Linked DNA regions of Xenopus tropicalis. The protein of the gene in region 2 binds, or shares a complex with, the protein of the main gene of each other region. Links are inferred from orthologs where the notes say so. Each region holds a gene or a part of one and is shown on either strand. Other genes may lie near its edges.

Region 1 (7,645 bases), on a different chromosome or scaffold from region 2:
ATACTCTGCCTGCCCTATGCTGCTTGTGTGTGCTATAGTCTGAGTTGTGTTTAGGTGAACAATGTGCAGGGGGTGAACAATGCAGACACTAAAGGGTGTGAACAATACTGGACATTACATATGTATGAACAATACAGGGGGTTTACAGCATGAATTTGAGGTGTGAACAATGCAGGGGGGCAGTTAATCTCAGTACTGATACCATTTAAGGCTTACACAAAGGTAAGCAGTCACAGCAGCTAGGTGGGGGGCCCACACAGAGGAGAGTCTCGGGCTGCCAGTTGGACAGCACCGATCTAAACTAAGGGGTATATTTATCATGCTGTGTAAAAAGTGGAGCAAAACATTATCGGTGAGCGTCCTTTAACCATTCTTCTTTAATCATACTAATAATTGCCGCTTGTTTCCTCTCTCCCCCCCCCCCCCCCCCCCCCCCCCCACTCCACCTCTCTAGGCTATCTTTAGTAGTATGTTGCTTTTTCTACTCCTTAGTTTCCCACAATTTAGTGCCATTGTATCTGCTTCCTGTTAATAATTATACGTTAATTAACTGAACAATTTGGTGTTTGTTCTTTTTGCTGGAATGATAGACATCCCAAAGATCGAATGTAGTTTGTATGCTTAACAGAATTAAATAACATTTCTACAACATAATACAGGGATGTGATCTGTTATCCACAAACCTATAAACTAGTAAGCTCTGAAATTACGGGAAGACCATTTCCCATAGACTTAACATAAATCAACAATTTATACTTTTAAAAATGAACTGCTTTATTATTATAGAGAAAAAGTAAATGATCGTAGTTAAGGCAAAACAATCCTGTTGGGTTTATACAGGTATGGGACCCATAATCCAGAATGCTCGGGATCTCTGCTTTTCCGGATAAGGGGTCTTTCTGTAATTTGGAGCTCCATACCTTAAGTCTGCTAAAAAAAAAATCATTTAAAAATTAAATAAACTTAACAAGAGTGTTCTGCATCCAATAAGGATTAATTCTATCTTAGTTGGGATCAAGTACAGGTACTGTTTTATTATTACAGAGAAAAGGGAATCATTTAACCATTAAATAAACCCAATAGGGCTGTTCTGCCCCCAATAAGGGGTAATTATATCTTAGTTGGGATCAAGTACAGGTACTGTTTTATTATTACAGAGAAAAGGGAATCATTTAACCATTAAATAAACCCAATAGGGCTGTTCTGCCCCAATAAGGGGTAATTATATCTTAGTTGGATCAAGTACAGGTACTGTTTTATTATTACAGAGAAAAGGGAATCATTTAACCATTAAATAAACCCAATAGGGCTGTTCTGCCCCCAATAAGGGGTAATTATAACTTAGTTGGCATCAAGTAGAAGGTACAGGTATAGGACCCATTATCCAGAATGCTCGGGACCAAGGGTATTCCGGATAAGGGGTCTTTCCGTAATTTGGATCTCCATACCTTAAGTCCACTAAAAAATTAATAAAACATTAATTAAAGCCAATAGGATTGTTTTGCATCCAATAAGGATGATTTATATGTTAGTTGGGATCAATTACAAGGTTCTGTTTTATTATTACAAAGAAAAAGGAAATTAGTTTTAAAATTCTGAATTATTTGATTAAATGGGTTCTATGGGAGACGGGCTTTCCGTAATTCGGAGCTTTCTGGATAATGGGTTTCCGGATAAGGGATCCCATACCTGTATTGTTTTATTATTACAGGAAAAAAAAGGAAATCCTTTAAAAAAAAAATCTGAATTATTGCTCTTAATGGAGTCTATGGGCGATGGCCTTCCCACAATTTGGAATTTTCTGGATAATGGATCCCATACCTGTATAATAAACATACATTTTATTTATTTTTTAAAATATTCTTACTCCTTGCCATATGGTGCTATGGAACGAAGCAAAAAAAGAAGAAAAAAAAACCCACCGCCGCTAACTGGTTTGCAGGTAATAGCCCCAATAGCTGTAATTAAAAGCTTCTCGGACACCATGTGCTAGCTTGTATAATTACGGGCGCTCACTTTGCCTCTCGCTGGAGTTCTGTTTGAGCGCGTCCCTCTGCTTTGTTCACAGCTCATTGATTTTTCTCATTTTGGAGGTGTGACGCGAAGAGACAGAATAATAGCCATAGCAGTTTAGTGCGATTCTATCAGATGTCGCCATCGGGGCCACAGTTTGTTTAATGAGAAGTTTTTGTGTTCAAATTTTTAATTCAGACATTGTAGGTCGTAAACCTTTTTTTTTTCTTCTTGTGATGTTGGGGTCAGTGACCCTCCTTGAAATCTGGAAAGGGTAAAAGGAAAATGATTAAAAAATTAGTTGTTCTATAACATATTAAAAGTTAAACTACCTCTTTCAAATATCAATTTTAACTCTAGAAGTTCTGTTTTCATGTCTGTTTTCAACATTTGCATACAGATGAAGGGGATTTGGGAAATCTGATATGCTTTACCCCTTGAGTCATATAGAGTTCCCTGCTTTCAAGTTTATGTACTCGTATGTCAAGTGTGAGCGTTACACTGTCTTCATTTGGTCTACACGTTACTCATGGTTTTGTTTGGTAATGAAAAGATAAATGAAACAGGGAAGCGGTAAGTTCCTAATAAAACTAGAGCCGATGACTCGACCATTGCTCGTTGGAATATGGAGCTCTATAGTATTTAATCAGGTATTGCGCAACGCTGGGAATTAGGGAAATTATTGGCAGGAAATGCATATATGTTGATTTGTGTAGTGTTGTTTTTGGATCCTCCTTTATGTGTAAGATTTAGTTGCATGTCCTCCTCACATTTTATACTAAAAGTCATAAATATATGTATGAAAGGCCTTGTGATGTCTGGGGGACAAGTGCTGAGACATGGCACATCAAAGTAACTATCCAGCTGAGTGCTACCATGGTACTAATTGAGTTAATGAGAAACACTGTTTCTAACCCATTATCTCAAAGTTCCCGCAAGTCTGGGCAAAAGTTAAAAACAGCTACTGACTTAAATGCAGTGCTGTCATAAATGTGCGCTTGGGACAGTGGGAACATGGCATTTCTTTTGGGATAGAGGTAACGTGCACAACTCACACAAATACTCCAGAAATGTCCCTTGGGGGCCTTTAGGCAACGAAATACGAAATGGAGCAGGTGAATATAGGCTTTAAAGATTAGCTGTCCTCTGGTTATTACCTAGGGCAATGTCACTATGTCCATTCTCTTGCACTCAACGGTGTTGGGCAGTAACACCAAAGCTATACACCAAAAGACTCTAAGGGGGCCGTTAACTAATGTGTGTTTTTCTGCAAAGGGGAATGCCCTCCCCTTAAAAACAAAACAGGGATAGTTTTACCATATATTGCAATATATACAAACAGGCCAAACAGTCACCCCCTCTGGCCAGTCCTACATTTACTTATCTTATTCATTAAGAATTCTGCTACTTCATTATACACCGAACAACTCTAAGGGGGCCGTTTGTATTCTTTTTGATAATCTGTTTTTTTTTTTAAACCATGAAAAATGCAAGAAACTCTAAAACCACTAAAGTGCCTCTAAGGGGGTCTACCTGTCTCTGTCGGTGTCTAAAGCTGGCCTTACGCTGAAAGATCTGCTCATTTGTCAAGCCCGCCAAACAAGCAGATCTTTCCCCAATATACCCACCTTGAGTGATATAAGATTGATGTGATGTGGAACACATCAGTATGCCGATGCACCCATTGCTCCGACGAGATTTTGAATCCTGCCCAGTCGACATCTAGATTATTTTCAGCCCTTAGACAGGCCTAACAAATGCCCATTTGTTAGGCCCGTCTTAGGGTCCTATACCCAGGCCAATAAACTGACGAATCGGACTGTTCACCCTTCAACGCTTTTATCAGCCCATGTATGGCCATCTTTGCCCGACAGAGCAGATCCCGTGCATTGGTGTGGGAGGCAATGACAGTCCATAAGGGGGCATTTTGACCACGGATATTCTCTGTGCAAAGCACCAGTGCCAGCCAAAATGCCTCAACAAATTAAAGATTATAAAGAAGAGCCTTCAGTTGGCTGTCCATATACATATTTTGGAGTGTCTGCTAAAGTGCAAATAATTGGGTGCAACATGGTCTCTCATCAGTAGATTGATCTTATGAATGAAACTGTATAATTTTTCCTCTATCCCATCCAGTCGCGTTAAAATTTACATTTTTTCTCCCCACTCTCCCTCAAAGCATGTTGGCTGACAAACTGAATATGACTCCGGAAGAAGCTGAAAGGTGGATTGTCAACTTAATTCGTAATGCAAGACTGGACGCCAAGATAGATTCCAAACTGGTACGGTTTTCATTTTCTGCCATTCATTCTGACAGAACCATAACAAATGAAGTCATTTTGTTTGCAATGACATTGACTTATGGCTTATAATTTGTGGATTGCTGCAGACCATTTAAGGTGGCGGGTGGGTGTTTGAGTTAAGCAGTAGAACCCGCTAGCAGGGTTAGGATATCTTGCCGTTTCTGTATGCAGCAGTTCTATTTTAAAGTCTAATTTGTGTCGATTTCCATAATACTACCTTGTGTGGGAATGTGTTACTGGGAGCTGTCAGAGTCTATTCAAATCTGACGTTTAATATTGATAAACCAAATACAAAAATATATTTTATATCCTCGTTCTAGGGTCACGTGGTTATGGGAAACAATGCCGTCTCTCCTTATCAGCAAGTGATTGAAAAGACAAAGAGCCTTGCATTCCGTAGCCAAATGCTGGCTATGAATATTGAGAAGAAAACGAACCAGAACAGCAGAACTGAGGTAAAGATGTTTGCTCTGCACTCCCGGCTCTATTTGTGAGGCTTAATTCCTATTCGTGCCACAGGCATAGAATGATTAAGGTTCTAGCCCCATATTCAAAAACATCAGAATTATATAGAGCTGGGATTTAAACATTCTTAGCAATATAGGATTTGATACGGCTTAAAGGAACAGTAACACCAAAAAATGAATGTGTTTTAAAGTGAATAAAATAGTGTTCCGTATCTTGACCTTGCTGTTTTTTATTTCCACTTAGAAATGGCCGCCCCTGTTGCTATACAACAGCTCTTTTATACAGACTATAGTAGTCTTTCTGAAGCAAACACACAAGTTTTACCAGAGTAAAAAAGTTGTTGTATAGCAACAAGGGCGGCCATTTAAGATGTGAAAAGAAACAGGTTACATAGCAGATTCACTCTGTAGAATGCAATGGTGTTTTACAGAGCTTATCTATAACCTGTGCCATTTAGCCCTATTTCAATTTAAATGTCTGCTACCATGGCTATACAGCAGTGTGTTTATATGGGCTGTATTAGTGTTTTAGAAGCAAACCTACTGCTTTTACCATTGTCTGGTAGCCGAACATTATAGTTTAAATTCTTTGATACACTTGAGTTACTTTTCCTTTAAATAGGCAGTGTCTCTGCCCTTGTCTTATATGGCTCATGTACTAATGTTCATAACATATATTGGCAAGCAAATTAAAAAAAATAAAATAAAAAAAAAAATGTTGCATTTGTGGTAGATGCCATTTCTACTTGAATTTGCTTGCCAATATGTTATGAACATTAGTACATTAATTGATAAAGTCTATATCGGCACAATATTTTATCTGATTTGTGTGGATTTTAAAAGCTTTTTTTATTTTTTCCCTCACCTAAAAGTATTTGACTGTCTGCTGTGGGGTGGTGCAAACTATTACAAATTAAGGTTGAATTTTTGCACTGTTTCTGTCATTTTCTTAGTGGAAATAAAGGACAGCAAGGTCAAGATATGGAAAAATGATTTTTGGCATTTTACTAAATCGGCCATTTGGTCTTTGCAATAACCTTGTGGCCAACCAGATAATGTAGGTCAGTGCATTACCCCAAGGGGCCACACCCCTGAAGTTATGATTAAATAAGATTTTTACACATCAGACTAAAGGTGGCGACACACGTGGTGATTTGCAATCGTACAATCAGCCACACACCGTTCAGGGCTGAAACGGCAGATAAGGAGGTAGAAACAATAGGATGGCGCCCGATCAAAATCTTTTAACCTTCCCGATCGGCGAGTCGACCGATATCGGCAGCTTCCTGCGATATCGGTTGACTTGCCATATACGCACCGAATATCGTACGAAACGAGGTTGTGTACGATATTATCGGTGCGGGTATGGCCAGCTTAAGAGGGGTTTTTTCGGGGGAAAGAGTGCTAACAAGAACAGACCAGTTTTCCTAACTAAGATATAATTAATCTAATTGGAGGCAAAACTGACCTATTGGGTTTATTTAATGCTTACATGTTTTTAGTAGACTTAAATTATGGAGATGTAAATTATGGAAGGACCCAATGCCTATATATAATATATATATTTTTATTTTGCAGGCACCTACCTGGGCAGCTCAGGATTCCGGATTCTATTGATGACTTCATTTGAACTTCACACCAGCTCAAAGTTTCCCTGTTACCCATGCTTTCTTTTCCTCTTACAAAAACCAAGCCACATTGTAAGGTTAAAGGAAGGCATGCGTTTGAATAAAATGGGTACACTTCCTTTTAACTGGGACTTATTGGTTATTTTATGCTTTTATTTTTTTTTTTTTTCTGATTTAGTACTCATGTACCACATTTATTGTACGGGGCTCTTCAAATTTATTTCCCACTGCCATATTAATATAATAAATACATAGCATTTTGTTCAACACACATACTATCAAATATATATAGGGTTTATGTATTTATTTATAATGTAGTGATCTCTTAGCTTTGAAATCAAACTGTCAGCAACATAGTAGTCGAGGTTGAAAAAAGGCACTTCATCAAGCCTTTATGAAACCAACTTGTTAGATGATCCAGAGGAAGGTGAAAAACCTTGGTCAACACCAAGAGCTAATTTCTGCAACTCTGTATTCTCTTACTTGGTAAAGAGGCATCCAACCCGCTCCACAACTTCACAGCTCACACTGTAAAATACCCCACATGTCTGCTGGAAAGACATACTGGTGAATAAAGCGCCAGACAATTTATTATATGATCCCCTTATATATTTATACAATTATCATATCACCCCTTAAAGTGATACTGACAGCCACTTAAAAACATTTTTTACACCTGTTGTGTTTTAATTTGTATCAGCTTTAAATTCCTTATAAACTAAATCTGCAAAGTTTTTTTGCTTCATAATTATGGTATCATTAATTACAGACCCACGGAGCAGCCATGTTTGTTACCTTATTCCGGGTTTTAATTTAAATGCCTCCCAAATGAATAAATATGCCCAATCACAAACCTGCAACACCCCTTCTGCTTTCAGTCGGTATGTGACAAGCTCAGCTCCGTTGTCTATGTGTAATGGGGAGGGGGAAGGGAGAGCCCTTAGAAGCAGGCAGGCCCGGGAAAGCTATTTAATTCTTCGTGCGAAGTGCAGAAAGGGGGGCAGCCCTTTGAAGTAGGCAGGCAATGGAAAGATCAAGCCTGCCTGCTATCTAGTTCACATGCTATGCGAGGGAGGGAGGGGGAGCTCCTTGAAGCAAACGGCAAGCTGAATCCTCCCAGTTTATGACGTGGTCCTTTTCACAGATTGAGAAGCTTCAGTTGGGTTGCCAGACAGTCGGGTTCAGGATCTTTAGTAGGATTTATGTAGAAAAACAGGACTTTTAGGAAAAAAAA
Region 2 (7,307 bases):
TCTGGAATCAAATTGGCCAGATCTCTATGAGGCAAGATATGATTTTCCCATCAGATCAGGGAACATTGGATAGTTGATGCAGTCCTCGGTCTGACAGTGCCCATAGCTGCTATTTTAAGTCGTGCTTAAGTATTATTGCTAATGAAAGCAAAGCCTGGCTGTACCTTGCTCTTCCCTGCATTGCTGGTGCTGGCCATATGCACAACGTTACAATAGTTTGCTCTCCTCCAGCCAATGATCAGTTTCCCACAATACACTGGATTGTTACTTAGAATTAAAATGATACTGGTATATTCCTAAAATAGTCAGCATAACTAGGCAAGAATGGCCACAACCTTCTTTTTTAAACAGTAGCGCCTCAAGCCTGTGGTACCGGCCCATCTCTAGCAGGCCATGTAACAATGTTGCCAGTATGAGTCAAGCCAGTGTATGGTTCACATTATAGGGTTGCACCACCTCCATCCAACGAAGCAGCTCTCTCTCTGCTTATTGTGTCTGCAGGTTAACACTGGGCTGTGGGCAGAGAAACTTTGGTTCTAAACAAAGGACTTTGACTTATTTGTATAATAAACCCTTCCTTCTAAACAGGAGTCACAAACAGTACCTAGGGGAAGGAATGGGTTGTTTACATAGTGCTCAATGTCTCTATTTAAAAAATCTCCTGATAAGTAGAACAATAATCCAGGAGTGCTATTAAATAAAAGGAAAAAAATGGATTTCTTTTTTTAAACACAAGCTTCATGATTTGGTTATGTTGAACATAGGTTCATATTTTCCCTTAAAAAAATGTGAGTTATAAGAGCAAAGGGAAACAAGCAAGAAAACAAAAAAAAAAGGGAGACAACATTGAAACAAGTTGGATGTATATATTTTACTTCATTTCACACACTTTGTTGCTGTTATTTGAAGCTGCTGGTGCCAATAAGGAATACAGTGAAGATGGAACTTATGGTGCCTGTCCCAGTTATTTCTAGTAAGAATGCGTAGTGTGGATAAAGGCTTAGTTTGCTCATATCATGCATCACCCCCCCAAAGAAAAATAAAATCCTTAAGTAATGTGATTCTCTGTCAGCAGTGACTGTATATTGTGCGCTCAGCCATGGAGTTACCAGCTTTTTAAAGGTAACCAAAGGTCTCCCATTTGAAAGTGAAGAACACGTAACTTCGACTTATGGTAAAAAAGATCTAATCCAGCCATGAGACTATAATATACCCGTTAGATTTCCCTTAATACACAGAATTAAATATGCTGGTGTGGGTTTTAGCTGTACAGACAAGTGGTTTCTGGCATAATGTCCCTTGAACAGGCCTTTTACATAATTGCAGCCCCACTGGCTGTAGGCGGCTACAGGGAAGACCGAACAGACAGTAATTGTGCCTTTACCTTTAAACCGCAAGCAGACTAACCCCCATGATAGAGAAGCTACGGAAACCAAAGCAAGGAAAAAAAATATTCAGTATTTCCATTAGGCAAATGCATAAGGGAAATGAGAGATGGGAAATATTGTGACCCTCAGTCCTTTGCCTAGAACAGTTCATAGTCGGGGGGGGGGGGGGGGAAGGAAACTAAAAATAAAAGTTGTCAACAAGGAAGATGAAAAAAAAAAGATCAATACAAGGTATCAAGGCAAAAGCAAAGGAGAGCTGCAAAGAAATAACATATGCATAATTTTTTTTTTTTTTTTTTTTCAAACATTGTTAATATGTACATAAATACAGCTTGTCTTCCCAACGCTATTAATTCCATCTGCGCTTTAACAGCATTATACATGGTAGAATAAACCCACTAATAATGACTTACTGGAGGTGGTCTCTCTAGCTCCCTGCTCCCTGGTGCACTACACTTTGCCAAAGACTCAGAAGCCAACCTTGCCTATGCAGGAGAGAGCACACTGGCCAATCTTGTCACAAGGATGAGTTTATTAAATTAGTTGTCTTATAAAACAAACATTGCAGTCTCATTGTTAATATAACAATTCTCCCAAAGTAGGACCTGTTTGCAAAGCGCCATCCAGTGGGTGAGCAGAAGATTAAGAGAAAGGGCCAGACCTTGAACCTTGGTGCAAGAGTCAAAAAGCAATAAACCAATCGTGAAACCACACTGACACGCAATCACTAAATAAATATCAAGACCCTATGGCCCTCCCCTCCGGCAGAGCCATCAAGAACTGCCAGTTGGCCACAAAGTCATGATGACCCACATGTTTTGGTACTGGCAGCTCCAACAGAAGGCAGCACATATAGTCTGATGCACCAGCGGTATCTCCTTACCATTCTGCATCTTCACAGTTCCACATACTGTAGAGGTGATTTCAGATTGTTTAAAGTTTTAATATGGAAAAGCACCAAGCTGAGTCCATCAGGAATCACAGTTCAAAGCAGGAGATTCCTCTAGCACAAAGCTAAGAAACCAATATATATTAAAAAAAAAAAAAAAAAACTAAGATGGCTGGGAGGGCAGTGTCAATGAGGCAGGAAGTAAAGAGCCAGAAGAAAAAGAAAGATTTAATAACCTGCCCTGCCCAGAGAGAGAGAGACCATATTCCTAGGCAGAAAGCAGAGGCATGACTCTGTTTGTAACATGGCAGAGCTGAGCGTGCATGCCACAAGCAGAGTGGAGAAGGTTGCGAGCCTTGAGTTAAGGGGATGCTGAATAGAGCTGCATAGGTTAATTGTTTAATGTGCGATGTGGGCATCAACCAGTAGAATCCAGATACACACACCATGGCCATTTTCTTTTATATGGCCCGTTGAGGGGGGATGATTTCTTTGACTGTAGCATTTGGCAGAGTCCTGAGGGAGGAGAGCGCACTCCTTAATGAGGGCCACAAAGAACCAGCGTGTCACATGAAATCGTCATACTCTCGTCCATAGCCCTCATCCATGCCCCCATAATCTTCTAGATCATTCTTCATGTTGGCTTTTAGTCCTCCTCCCGGAACAACTCCCTTCTTTTTCTTTTTGGCTTTACTTTGTTGCTGTAATTCAGAGACACAATTGTAGTTTATCCAGGCAAAAAAATATGCTAAATCTCTACCTGCACAGAAGCAGGTTACAGGGGGCATATAACCTACCTATAACAATGACCAATGATTCATGATTTTAGCAGCTTTTACACTGCATGGCAAGAGCGGGGTAGAACATATAAAGCTTAACACTACCCTGCTAATGTCACATTGAGCAAAACAATAGAGCGGTGATGCATGAAGAGATGCTTCTTATCTATATAAAATAAACATTTGCTATTCTTCTTAGCGCTCAGCAGGGGGCACTCATGTTACACCTTCATGCTAACATCATGAAACAAGTCCTCTAATAGGTTGTCATTTTTCTATTACCTTGAAATAATTTCTTTAATACTCCTCCCACCCAAATAAACTCACCTTCTCTTGCTTCTGTTTCTCAAAGCACAACACTGTTAGAGAATTGTTGATTTTCTTCAGGTCATCCACTTCCACTAAAACAGGAAAATACAAAAATACTTCAGGCCACCGCAATATATGGCAAAATTAATGACTAACAAAGTTCATGTGATAAGTCATGAATGAAAAAGCTTTATGGAAATTGGAAAGGAGGAGAGGCTGGCTTACATGAGACGCACACTTCCCGCACAAGGACCTCCAGGAAGCCTGGGTAAAATAACGATCTCTCATACTGGGTGATCTTTTCTTTGAGGAGCTTCCCAAATTCTGTAAAGTCTTCTCTTGAGGACGGATTCATGGCATCTATTCCAGTAACGGTAACATTGTCTCCTGCAGATAATAAACAAACTTTTTTTTAAGGTTTCCTTCCCTCTTCACTGTGACCATATCTGTGCTAAAGGCCACCCTAACATAGCTGCATGTTGGGGAGCAGGTAGAGCCAGGCCTGTGTGCCAGAGCAAGAAGCCAGGCAAAAAGGCAGGTAGTTAATGTCCCAGGCTGGCGAGTTGGGGTGTGATGTTGGACACGGCTACAATATAAGTCAAGCAGAGCGGGGTGGCCGAGTGCTATACTCACTTCGGCACCGCACTGTCCAAGCCTCCTGCTCATCCTAAGCTGCTGAAATCTGCCTGAGTGGTCTAAATAGCGCAATAGGGCTAGGATGCAGAAAGGGGCTACCATGTGAGGCAGACAGGTAGCCCTGCTTCTGGTATCACCCAGGAGTCAACATTAACCACTGACCAAATAATTTCTCTCTAAGGGGTATATTTATCATGCTGTGCAAAAAGTAGAGTGAAGCATTACCAGTGATAACCAATTAGCAATTAGATATCAACAATTAGCAGCCAATCAGATGCTTTGCTTTTCTATGAGCAACATCACCGGCAATGTTTTACTCCACTTTTTACACAGCATGATATATATACCCCCAAGTATCCCTAGAGACATGACTGTCCAACCTCCTAGAAGCAGGACACTTGAATTACCCCATAGATCACCTGTGTCCCCGAGACGACAGAAAATAAATAGTAGTAGTATGCAACTTTTCAATATACATTAAACTTTTCATTAGTGAATTTAACAAAACTGCAGAAAAAATTTGGTTGTGTCAAAGTCGCATAGTAGCTGCATTCTGAAAACTTTCTGCAGTTTTGCAACGTTTTCAGCAAAGCAAATGGGACAGATTCGCTCATCACTACAGCTGGTTTCTGTCAGAGTCAGAACTAGCAATGAAAACACACAAATATAGCAATTACAACGCACTTAAATAAAAAAAAAAAAAACCTAACAATCTAAAAGCTTTCTTAACCTGACTGCCAAGGTACGTATGAAGCCAAACCCACAGAGGGCAGAACACAATCATATGAAGGTGGTCTGCAGTCATGGCATGCATCGATAACTGCATTACGGTCACTAGCAGAAACCAACCAACAGATGTCAGAGTTTCCTCCCAATCCTTGTAAGATAATATGCTGTGCCACCAAACAAATACTTGGGCATTCAAATGGCTGTATGAAAGTATTTTTATGGAGGGGCGGAGGACTTATGGGATTGGCATTTATTAAGTTCTAGGTAGGAGAGAAATGATAAGTCTCTCAGGTTCTTTATAGCCTGTTGGGGCTAGAATATGAATTGTTGGGTTTGTCTATAGAAGGGAAGAAAGGCATTGGCCAAAATGCGTTTCTAAGGATCTGGGAGAACACAGTGATGTACGTAATACAGTTGTGAAGCTATGGAATAGAGGTGGATATCTGGAAGTTCCAGGTAACATGTAGTGCTGTCAGTTTCACAATAAGCAAGTCAAGCACACGTGTGACAGCAACTCTATTACAGAGATAACATACACCTATGTTTAACCCCAATGCACCACCCCTAAGCGAGGGGATACCTGGGGGGACAAACCAAGAGATAGCAGTGCAGCACTAAGTTCCCAGGGTCACTGTTTTCTAAAGCAGAGGCAGTGACACAGGCTAAAATGTTTTTAATTACTATGTGGAAGACTAAAATTAGCAGCCCCTCAGTGATTTTAACTTGCGCTAGCAAGGATTGCTTATTGTGTGGCAGACTCACCAAAAGCCTCCTTTGCTAATTCTAAGTCGGAGTCCTCCTGTAACTTCTTTAGGCGAAGCTTTTCTGCCAGCTGTTCCTCTGGACTTAACTCTGGTGCGGTTCCTTCCTTCTCCTGCAGAGAGGAAGTGTAAGCTTTGTGCCATTTCCCATGGTACTTAATATAAGCCTGTAAACTATATCACAATGCAATAGGATCATTTCAAGCACTTACCTGCTGGTTTACTTCCTCCTGCCTTTTTTTATGCAACTTCTCTTTTTCTCTTATTTTTTCTAGTAATTTTTTCTTTTCAGAAACCTTTGGTTCTACTAGGGATAAAACAAAGCAATTACACAGTGAGTTAAAGTGGCCATATATGATCAGATTTGTTTAAAGAAACACCTAAAATGAAAGTGCTTTAAATTAAAGCAGAAGGAAAGACTAAGTCACTTGGGGGTGCCAAAATGTTAGGCACCCCCAAGTGACTTTAATCGCTTACCTCGTACCCCGGGCTGGTGCCCCTGTTAGAAGAAAATCGCACCAGCCTGGGGTACCTGTAGTGAGCGCTTCCTCTTCCTTCTTCGCTTGCTTGCACAGTAGAGTGAGAAGCCGAACTTTAATAAAAAAGTCTGCTTTTCGCTCTAATGTGCATGTGCCGGCTCAGGGAACAGAAGGAAGCGCTACAGGTACCCCGGGCTGGTGCGGTTTTCTCCTAACAGGGTCACCAGCCCAGGGTAAAAGGTAAGCAATTAAAGTCACTTGGGGGTAAATTGGCCGAACACTGTTGGCAAGAATGAGTATAGCCACCATTAGATATTCACTACAGCAGCACACACTTGCCAAAGCAGTCAGCCATATTTTATAGATGGTCTTCCCCTCACTGAACAACAAGGCCCTACATTACCCCCCACCCAGAGCCATGTCTTGCTCTCAAGCATGCTTTGTACACTTTAGGCTAAAGGCACATTTTCTACATCCTCACCCGTTTTCTGTGCTTCTTGTTTAGTTGCCGCCTCAGCCTCCTCTTCATCATCCCAGTTATCCTACACAAGCAGATAATGAATCCAATTTATAACTTATTTGATGGATCCCCAAGACAAATTAGATCTTAAGACCTTAAAGTATCATGTTTATTTATGATATCCTTATGATTATATCCAATCTCTAGAAGCTCAGGAAAAACATCTGCTAAAAGGGTTTCTATATTAAAACTCTCACAACATAAATGAAAGCACAATGCCCAATATAAAGCAAAAAGTTATAAACACATCTTCTGTATAAAATACCCAGTATAACAATCATATCCCAGTCACACAAATCTCTCCCACTGGCTTACACTGCAGAGCATAGTCTTGTTACTCCTTGATAAATATTCCCCTCAGAGCTTAACTACACAGAAAATTGTCGAATAGTGTCGGATCGACAGATCACATCATACAAGTCACATTTAATTGCATGGGTTAAAAAATAATGGGACTGACTCAAAAATCTGTAAATGTAATATAGAAGCTTTGCCATCCGACACGCCAGAAGGGAAAACTGCAAGCTGCGTCTTCATCCACTACATTTTAAACCATTAGGACAGCGTTTTTCAACCGCTCCTCTGGGACACCTTCCACTTCCTGGCTCCCTGATGCCCGGAAATCGTCACTGCCTGTGACGTCATCCGGCATCGGATCCTGCCCTGGCACAACCCGACCGGGGGGAGCAACTGCCCAGGCCCTGCCCCGACAGACCAGATCCACCAGGGGCCAGGCCCATGCACAGCCGTCCTACTCCCCACCGGAAGACAATCCCGGGACACCCCTGGATGCCGCACCCCAAGACAGCCTGACATG
Region 3 (7,645 bases), on a different chromosome or scaffold from region 2:
AGATCATCTAGTTTTGTATTTCTTAAATACAATAAAACAAGAGGGAGGGGCTAATCTAAAGTATTTGCCTGCTTCATGTGTTCTCTAAGCAATTTATCAATTTTATATGCTTTAAAAATATAAATGATTGTAATACATTCTTTTAAACAGGATGTACTTTGATTTGATTATAGAAATCATTTACATTGTTTTTATAACATTAATTAACAAGCAGCTCTTCCAGGAGTTATTAAACAAGTACTTCTGGAGGGTTGCCAATTGCCTCTGATTGCTTTATGAATTTAGAAATTTATAACATTTTTGCTTTGGCAGAACAAGGCTTTTGGGCAAAATTACCACTTTCATTGAAACCCAATTCATAGTTTTATTTAAAATTGTGTCTTGTCTCATAGGTGGTTAATGTCTGGTATTCGGTGAATGGAGAGCGTCTGGGAACTTACAGTGGACACACAGGAGCAGTTTGGTGTGTGGATGTGGACTGTATCCTTATTGAGTTCTTTTACACTTTTTTTCAGTATAGGTGAAGTCTTCATAATAAAATTATGTTGTTACGAAATACTAAATACATACATATAAGTGACTTTTTTATGTTTTAATGACAAACTACATACTTTTTTGGTGGTCTACTTTCTTAACTTCAGACAGGGGACACGCGGCATGTACTTTCTGGATCTGCAGATAACTCATGCAGGCTGTGGGACTGTGAAACAGGTTAGTGGCTGGAGAAATTACTCCTTGATGTTCATGTATTGCTTATCCTTTGTTATCCTTCCTGTACCAATTGTAAAATTTTTTTCAGATTTTGGTGATATACTAAATCTAAAATACATATTGCTGTATATAGAGAGCCCCCCACAAAATACACAAAGATATATTAACCTTTCAACTCACCACAGGTGAACCTTGTGGAAATTTGCGATCTGCCCAAATTTGGTTGGCCAAATAAAACCTATCCACTTTCTGTATATAATGTGCTCCTAATGTACTTGTACATGACCATAAAAAAATTGAACTTGCCATCTTAAATTTACCAACCTGAAACTATTTCAACTATCAATAATTAACAATGGGCTGGAAATTACAACAACCAGACTGTATGTAAATAATAAGTATATTTCATTCCATGTATATATGTAGCATCAGATTTTTACATTTTTGTCCCTTTAGAGAATATGCCCAATGATATCTTTTCTGTTTTATCATCTTCCTTGTAGATTTCAAGCTATCCTACTACCCTACTTTTTTTTGTCTTTCTAGGGAAACAGTTGGCTCTCTTAGAGACAAACTCAGCTGTAAGGACCTGCGGCTTCGATTTTGGTGGCAACATAATCATGTTTTCCACTGACAAACAGATGGGGTACCAGTGCTTTGTGAGCTTCATTGACTTGAGAGACCCTACACAAATTGGTAAGGCCATGGAGTGACTTAAACAATTATGTGGTAGTTACTGCGTGGTCAGTATTTAGAGCGGCATCCAAATGGAGAAGCTGCCTTTATTTTTTTTATATTATATAATACCCAGTAAAATTATATTGGGAATCCAGGTTCCCCATATAATACATTTGATGTTACTTAGGAGTTCACCATGTGGCACAGTAAAGGGCATTTCCTCTGGCCTCACTGAGGGCTTTACTCTAATACAGTTTATGCAGCAAATATCCTGATTAGATAGAAGTCGTCTTTATCACAGGGCTTTATCACGCATGTGGTAGCTATAAGTGCCTGTACCACCCTGTGTGCGTAGTAACTGATGGGAAACTGCTAATTGGTGTTAACACAACTGATATGAGGGTGAACCTACACTAAACTAGCTCTACCTATGTCAAGAACTGGGTCCAGGGGCAGTTGGCCTAAATATATACAGACCTAATGCAGTATGTGATTCTTTTTAATCTCTTTAGTATATTCCTGTTTTCTGCACACCAGTAGTACCCTCAGTTGTCCGTGCAGGTGGTGAAGGGTCCAGATTTTTTGTTGCATTAAAAAATTAACATTTATAAAAATGTTCTGTACATCACGGATAACAATTTTCTTGCAATGAATGCCCTATTATTATTATTGTGTAGAAGACAACGAGCCATACATGAAAATTCCTTGCAGTGAGTCAAAGATAACCAGTGCAGTGTGGGGACCACTTGGAGAGAACATAATCGCTGGCCATGAGAATGGGGAGCTGAACCAGTACAGCGCCAAGGTAAAGCCCAAGATGATTATTTTTAACTTTATGGCATGTACTGATTAACTGAGTAAACAGATAAGCTCACCTAAAATGATATATTTACCCTTCCAAGTACAGGTATCGGACCCCTTATCAGGAAAGCTATTATTCATAAAGTTCCGAATTACGGAAAGGCCATTTCCTATAGACTCCATTTTAATCAAATAATTCACATTTTTAAAAATGTTTTCCTTTTTCTCTGTAATAATAAAACAGTACCTTATACTTGATCCCTGCAAAGATATAATTAATCCTTATTGGAGGAAAAACAATCCTATTGGGTTTAATTACTGTTTAAGGTAGGAGAGCCAAATTACAAAAAGACCCCTTATCCGGAAAACCCCAGGTCCCAAGCATTCTGGATAATGGGTCCCATACCTTTTTTTTTATATTTTAGACTGAGTTGAGTTTTAACCAGCTGATTTTTTTTTTATTAAAGTAATGGCCTGGGGTTTCCCGGATAAGGGATCTTTCCGTAATTTGGATCTTTATAATTAAGTCTGCTAAAAATCATTTAAATATTGAATAAACCCAATAGGCTTGTTTTGCCTCAAATAAGGATTAATTATATCTTAGTTGGGATCAAGTACAAGGTACTGTTTTATTACAGAGAAAAAGGAAATCATTTTTTAAAATTTTTTTAAAAAATAATTATTTGCTTTTAATGGGGTCTATGGGAGATGGATAACGGGCTTCTGGATAAGGGATCCCATACCTGTACTGACAATTTTCACAACATGTTTCCAATTAGGGACTCCAAAATTAATTTTGCAGTTTAACAAAATTTCTCTCTTTGCGGGTTTATAAACCCTTTCAGTTCTGCGCGGTGTTTTGGGAACTCTGTTGAGATAAAGCAGTGTGTTGCTTCTACTTAGCAGAGCATCCAAGTCTTGCACAACACTAAGGGAATATAGCTTTCTTTGGTTGTGTTTAAATGCTGAGAAAGACTTGGATAAGTCCAATTCATTCTTGGTTATAGCCAAATGAGGGCAAGTCCACTAAGTTAATTCTTTGTTGCCAGCTGCATAGCCTGTGGTGACCCCTGGATATTTAGTAGGCTACACCACAAGTTTATGTTTTTATGCATTTTTTTAATATTCAACTGTAGTAATTCATACTGACTATCAATGTAATTTGCTATTACTAACGTTGGTCATACACTACAAGATTAACTCGTTTAAAGAAGTCAGCAAATGAGCAGATATTCCTACATAAGGGCTCTGGCACACGGGGAGATTAGTCGCCCGCGACAAATCTCCCTGTTCGTGGGCGACTAATCTCCCCGGATTGCCATCCCACCGGCGAAAATGTAAGTCGCCGGTGGGATGGCACACGCTGCGCAGGCAATTTCGGCGATTTGCCGAAATCGCCTGCGCAGCGTGTGCCATCCCACCGGCGACTTACATTTTCGCCGGTGGGATGGCAATCCGGGGAGATTAGTCGCCCACGAACAGGGAGATTTGTCGCGGGCGACTAATCTCCCCGTGTGCCAGAGCCCTAAGGTGGGTGATATTGGGCTTATTTGATGGCCCTGGGGACAAATAATCTAATTACTACAACGAGACTACGAGCCTTAAGAGACAGGACTGCATCAATGAGCCAATGCAGCCCTCAAACAGATGCGAAAATCATACCTTTCCTGTCCACATCTGGATAATTTTTTGCCATATGTTGGTTGGACAGGCCAATCTATCATTTTATATTCATTCGCTAATATTTTTATTAGTAATAGCAGTAGAGTGCCTTATTGGATTTTCTCCATGTGTGAAGGAAATGCCACACGTGACAAATGGTCTGCATTTTAAAACAGTAGTTTTGATTTAGTAGAACCATTGTTGGTGTTGTCAGTTGACCGTATTCTTTGTATGTTTGATGCATTTATGTGGCACAATAGGATAAAAAATAAGCACTAATAAGTTGTTAGCATGGTGCAACAACTTCACTTTCTCAAAAGATGTTTCTTAAATTTCAGTACCACACCTTTGAAGGTGTGCAGCGACAGCTGCCTAATGAACAGAAATATTAGACTTTATGGATTACTATTTAAGCATGTTTATTTATTTCACTATTGTAAGGCACTCTTATCCTTTAATGTCTACTAGAAATATCTTATATACCCATAGCAATCGCACTTTAAATTTACTGCTTCTTACAGTTTTAACAAACCGAATCAATAAGTGAAATAGAAAAAATGACTATAGGTGATTTGTGGAATAACTATTGCTGCCATATGTGCTACCAATTATATCTGATATTCTTCTTTTCAGTCTGGGGAAATAGTTAACAGCATCAAAGAGCATTCCAAGCAGATCAATGACATTCAGACATCCCGAGACATGACAATGTTTGTTACAGCATCCAAAGACTGCACCTCCAAGGTAAGGCACAATCATCTGCTGAAGCTTGGTGAATTATGACACAAATGCCATTTGTCCTGAGTTATTTTCAGGAAGCAGAATTTATCTGTCCTAAAATGTGTTGGTATATTGATCTTTGATCCATCTGTTAAATGATATCCATCAGTGATCTTGACCAAGTAGCTTTGATCCCCGCTGCAGGTAGCAGCATTTAAAATGCCATGTGTGCTACTGGCCTCCTAGCTGAAACCTATATAAATTGAAAAGTTTAATTTTTGTCTGCATGAAAACCTTTGTCAGGGTCCCTTTAGCTCATAACAGGCTTACAGATATAAGAAAACATTGGTGTAATAATCAGCAATAGTTTAAGAACATCTAGAACAGCAAATATGTGTATGCTCCAGATCTAACCGTAACTGACCTAAGCAGGATGTTTAGGTGTATGTAGAAGTACACATAAGCATTAGCATAAGAAATATCCCCCAAACTTACCTTCATGCTGCCACCAGTGCTCTAGTTAAAGCATATATGCCCCATGGTTTGGTTTGTATTACAAATGGACAGCCATGATTCCCAAATAATTTTCTCAATATCTTAGATTTTATCAACACAAGTTAAAAGAAAAAATCCATATGTGCTTTAACTGTATACAGTGTAAGAAAGGTGCACAGCTGCACACTGATATTTTTTAATTCACACTGATTATAGGTTCCACTAATAGGAACCTACAGCAAAAAGTTACTTTAGTATAATGCTACCCCACCATGGCTGTTATCAACATAAACGTAAGTGTTCAGTTTGATATGAGAACAGAACTGGTGCAGTTCAGCCTTATAGGGAGGATTACACCTGTAAATATCGTAAGACTTGGCTGTGTTTTCCTTGGCAGCTTTCCTTTGCATTTTCTTTTTGCTATACACAAATTTGTTTGAAGAGACTTTTTTTTTTTTTTTTTTAATTGTGGCTTAGCCAACTGATTGCCATTAATTGCTATCATTTGTGGAATAGTCTGCTATATTATGGTACTGCACTATCACATTATGGTACTTCTCATATCACATTGAACACTTTGGTCTATGTGAATAATAGCCAAGTTGAAGTAGTAATCTGCTAGTGGTGGTGAAAACTTGTTTTTTACACTTTTCATTATTTTGTACAGGTGCTCAGCATGCCCATGTTTGGTAGAGTTAAAAGAAGGAAAGGCTAATAAAGAGTTAATCTCAAGCTGCAGGCATATCTTCAGTTGTCTCAATAGTGCCCTTAAGTCTCCCCTTTTTTCACCTGTCTGAAGCCAAACAGGAAGAAAAAATGCTGAGCTGTGTAAAGAAAGTTCCCATAATGCCTCACTCCTGCACAGACATGCAGGCCAAGTGAACATGCTCAGTTAGTAAGACTATGAGTCAGCTTCCTGCTGATTGGCTCAGATCCACATTCCTAAGGGGGGAGTGAGTTCTTAGCATTCTTGTGGGAGGGGGGAACAGGAAAGAGCAGAGAACAGAAAGCTGCATGTCTCTGGCACAGGAATTACAGACACTACTACTTTTTTTTCAGAGAAGTTCAGCATTTCTGTAAGTGCATATGGCTGTATTTACATAGACCTTTCTGATAAAGCTTACTTAGTTTTTACCTTTCTTTCTCCTTTATGTAGATGAGTTGTTCAGAGCTTTGCTGTATTTTATTGCAACATAAAACAAAGAAACTATCCATACTGTATGCTATTATAAAATAATAACATTAATATGACTGCATTTTTTTACTCAACTGGAGAAAGTACTTTCCTGCTCTGTGTGAGCAAAAAAACTGGGATTATCTGCTTGAAGAAGTTTTTAATAACAGCTAATGGGTTCTCTGACAGATAACACTTAAATAAAAACCTCTCTCCCCACCATGGGCGTCCACAGAAGGGGGCAAGAGGGGGCACTTGCCCCCCCCTGGAAAAGTAGCAAAAAAACCAAAAACCTTACTCCGTTTCTGCACTTTCCCCTCAAGCCCGTTTTTGCTGTGCTCCGATTGGATCTTTCTTCTTGTGGATTCACCAATCAGAGCACAGCTTCCTTGACAGACAGTAAAATTGACCAATCAGAGCACAGATGCACACAGGGATCGGGAGATTTTGCAAACTGGAAACAGAAATAAAGACTGAAAAGATGAATCTGCAGCTGTAACTTTACCTGAGAACCAACTCTCAACTTTTGCTGCAGTTTTCATCCCACAGGTACTATACAGTTCTAAAGAATCACTAGCTGACATTAAATTGTTTAATTTATAATCTATCCCCTACCCTAACACATGGAGGGTAAGTTAACTCTTTCCCTCTGAAAAAGCTCATTGTGTGTTTATATATGTGTTGTTGTTTTTTGCACTTACTATTTTTTTTTTTTTTTTGTCATTGTTTTGTTCATTTATAGTTAGTTACAGTGGGGCCAATGTTGTGTATCCGTGCCAGTGTTATAGTGCCAGGGCCTGAATATCTGCCATCAGTACCCACTGCTCCTCATGGCATATAATGTGCTGGGTTTGTAAATACGGACTGCATCTCACTGTATATAATGGGGAGTCAGTACCCACTGCCTTTCTTGCTATAAAACTAACATAAACACATCTAAAGGGGTGGTTCACTTTTAAGTTAACCTTTAGTATGTTATAAAATGGCCTATTCCTAGCAACTTTGCAATTGGTCTTCCTAATTAATTTTTTTGAATAATTTGCCTTTCTCTTCTGCCTCTATACAGATTTCAAATGGGGGCCAAAAAATATTGCTCTGCGAGGCTACAATTTTATTATTATTATAATTTTGTATTACTTATTTTTCCAAGTAGGCCCCTTAACTATTCATATTCCCATCTCTTGTTTAAATCACTACCTGGTTGCTAGGGTAAATAAGACCCTAGCAACCAGATAGCTGCTGAAATACCAAATGGAGAGCTGCTGAACAAAAAGCTAAATAACTGAAAAACCATTAAAAATAAAAGTGAATTCGAATGTGAACTACCCCTTTAAGCTAACTGATCCCAAACACAAATGTTTGCAGATCCCCTAACAGAAGTGCGCGTATGAATACTTTTACTAC

Evidence for each region. Proteins that work in one complex are often made in the same cells at the same time.
Region 1: eif3j (region 2) and eif3e share a complex: the UniProt entries of both Homo sapiens proteins name them as parts of the eukaryotic translation initiation factor 3 (eIF-3) complex. The link is inferred for Xenopus tropicalis from reciprocal best matches to the Homo sapiens genes EIF3J and EIF3E.
Region 3: eif3j (region 2) and eif3i share a complex: the UniProt entries of both Homo sapiens proteins name them as parts of the eukaryotic translation initiation factor 3 (eIF-3) complex. The link is inferred for Xenopus tropicalis from reciprocal best matches to the Homo sapiens genes EIF3J and EIF3I.

What each region holds. Positions count from the first base shown.
Region 1 is NC_030682.2:133,666,666-133,674,310, reverse strand, and holds the end of eif3e (eukaryotic translation initiation factor 3 subunit E), read left to right. Parts: intron 1-4,192; coding exon 4,193-4,295; intron 4,296-4,636; coding exon 4,637-4,771; intron 4,772-6,361; coding exon 6,362-6,400; 3' UTR 6,401-6,536; downstream 6,537-7,645. UniProt on the Homo sapiens protein: Component of the eukaryotic translation initiation factor 3 (eIF-3) complex, which is required for several steps in the initiation of protein synthesis.
Region 2 is NC_030679.2:118,203,246-118,210,552, forward strand, and holds the end of eif3j (eukaryotic translation initiation factor 3 subunit J), read right to left. Parts: intron 6,513-7,307; coding exon 6,452-6,512; intron 5,799-6,451; coding exon 5,704-5,798; intron 5,605-5,703; coding exon 5,493-5,604; intron 3,753-5,492; coding exon 3,591-3,752; intron 3,458-3,590; coding exon 3,384-3,457; intron 2,979-3,383; coding exon 2,844-2,978; 3' UTR 853-2,843; downstream 1-852. UniProt on the Homo sapiens protein: Component of the eukaryotic translation initiation factor 3 (eIF-3) complex, which is required for several steps in the initiation of protein synthesis.
Region 3 is NC_030678.2:86,499,728-86,507,372, reverse strand, and holds part of eif3i (eukaryotic translation initiation factor 3 subunit I), read left to right. Parts: intron 1-392; coding exon 393-480; intron 481-645; coding exon 646-711; intron 712-1,257; coding exon 1,258-1,407; intron 1,408-2,066; coding exon 2,067-2,194; intron 2,195-4,485; coding exon 4,486-4,596; intron 4,597-7,645. UniProt on the Homo sapiens protein: Component of the eukaryotic translation initiation factor 3 (eIF-3) complex, which is required for several steps in the initiation of protein synthesis.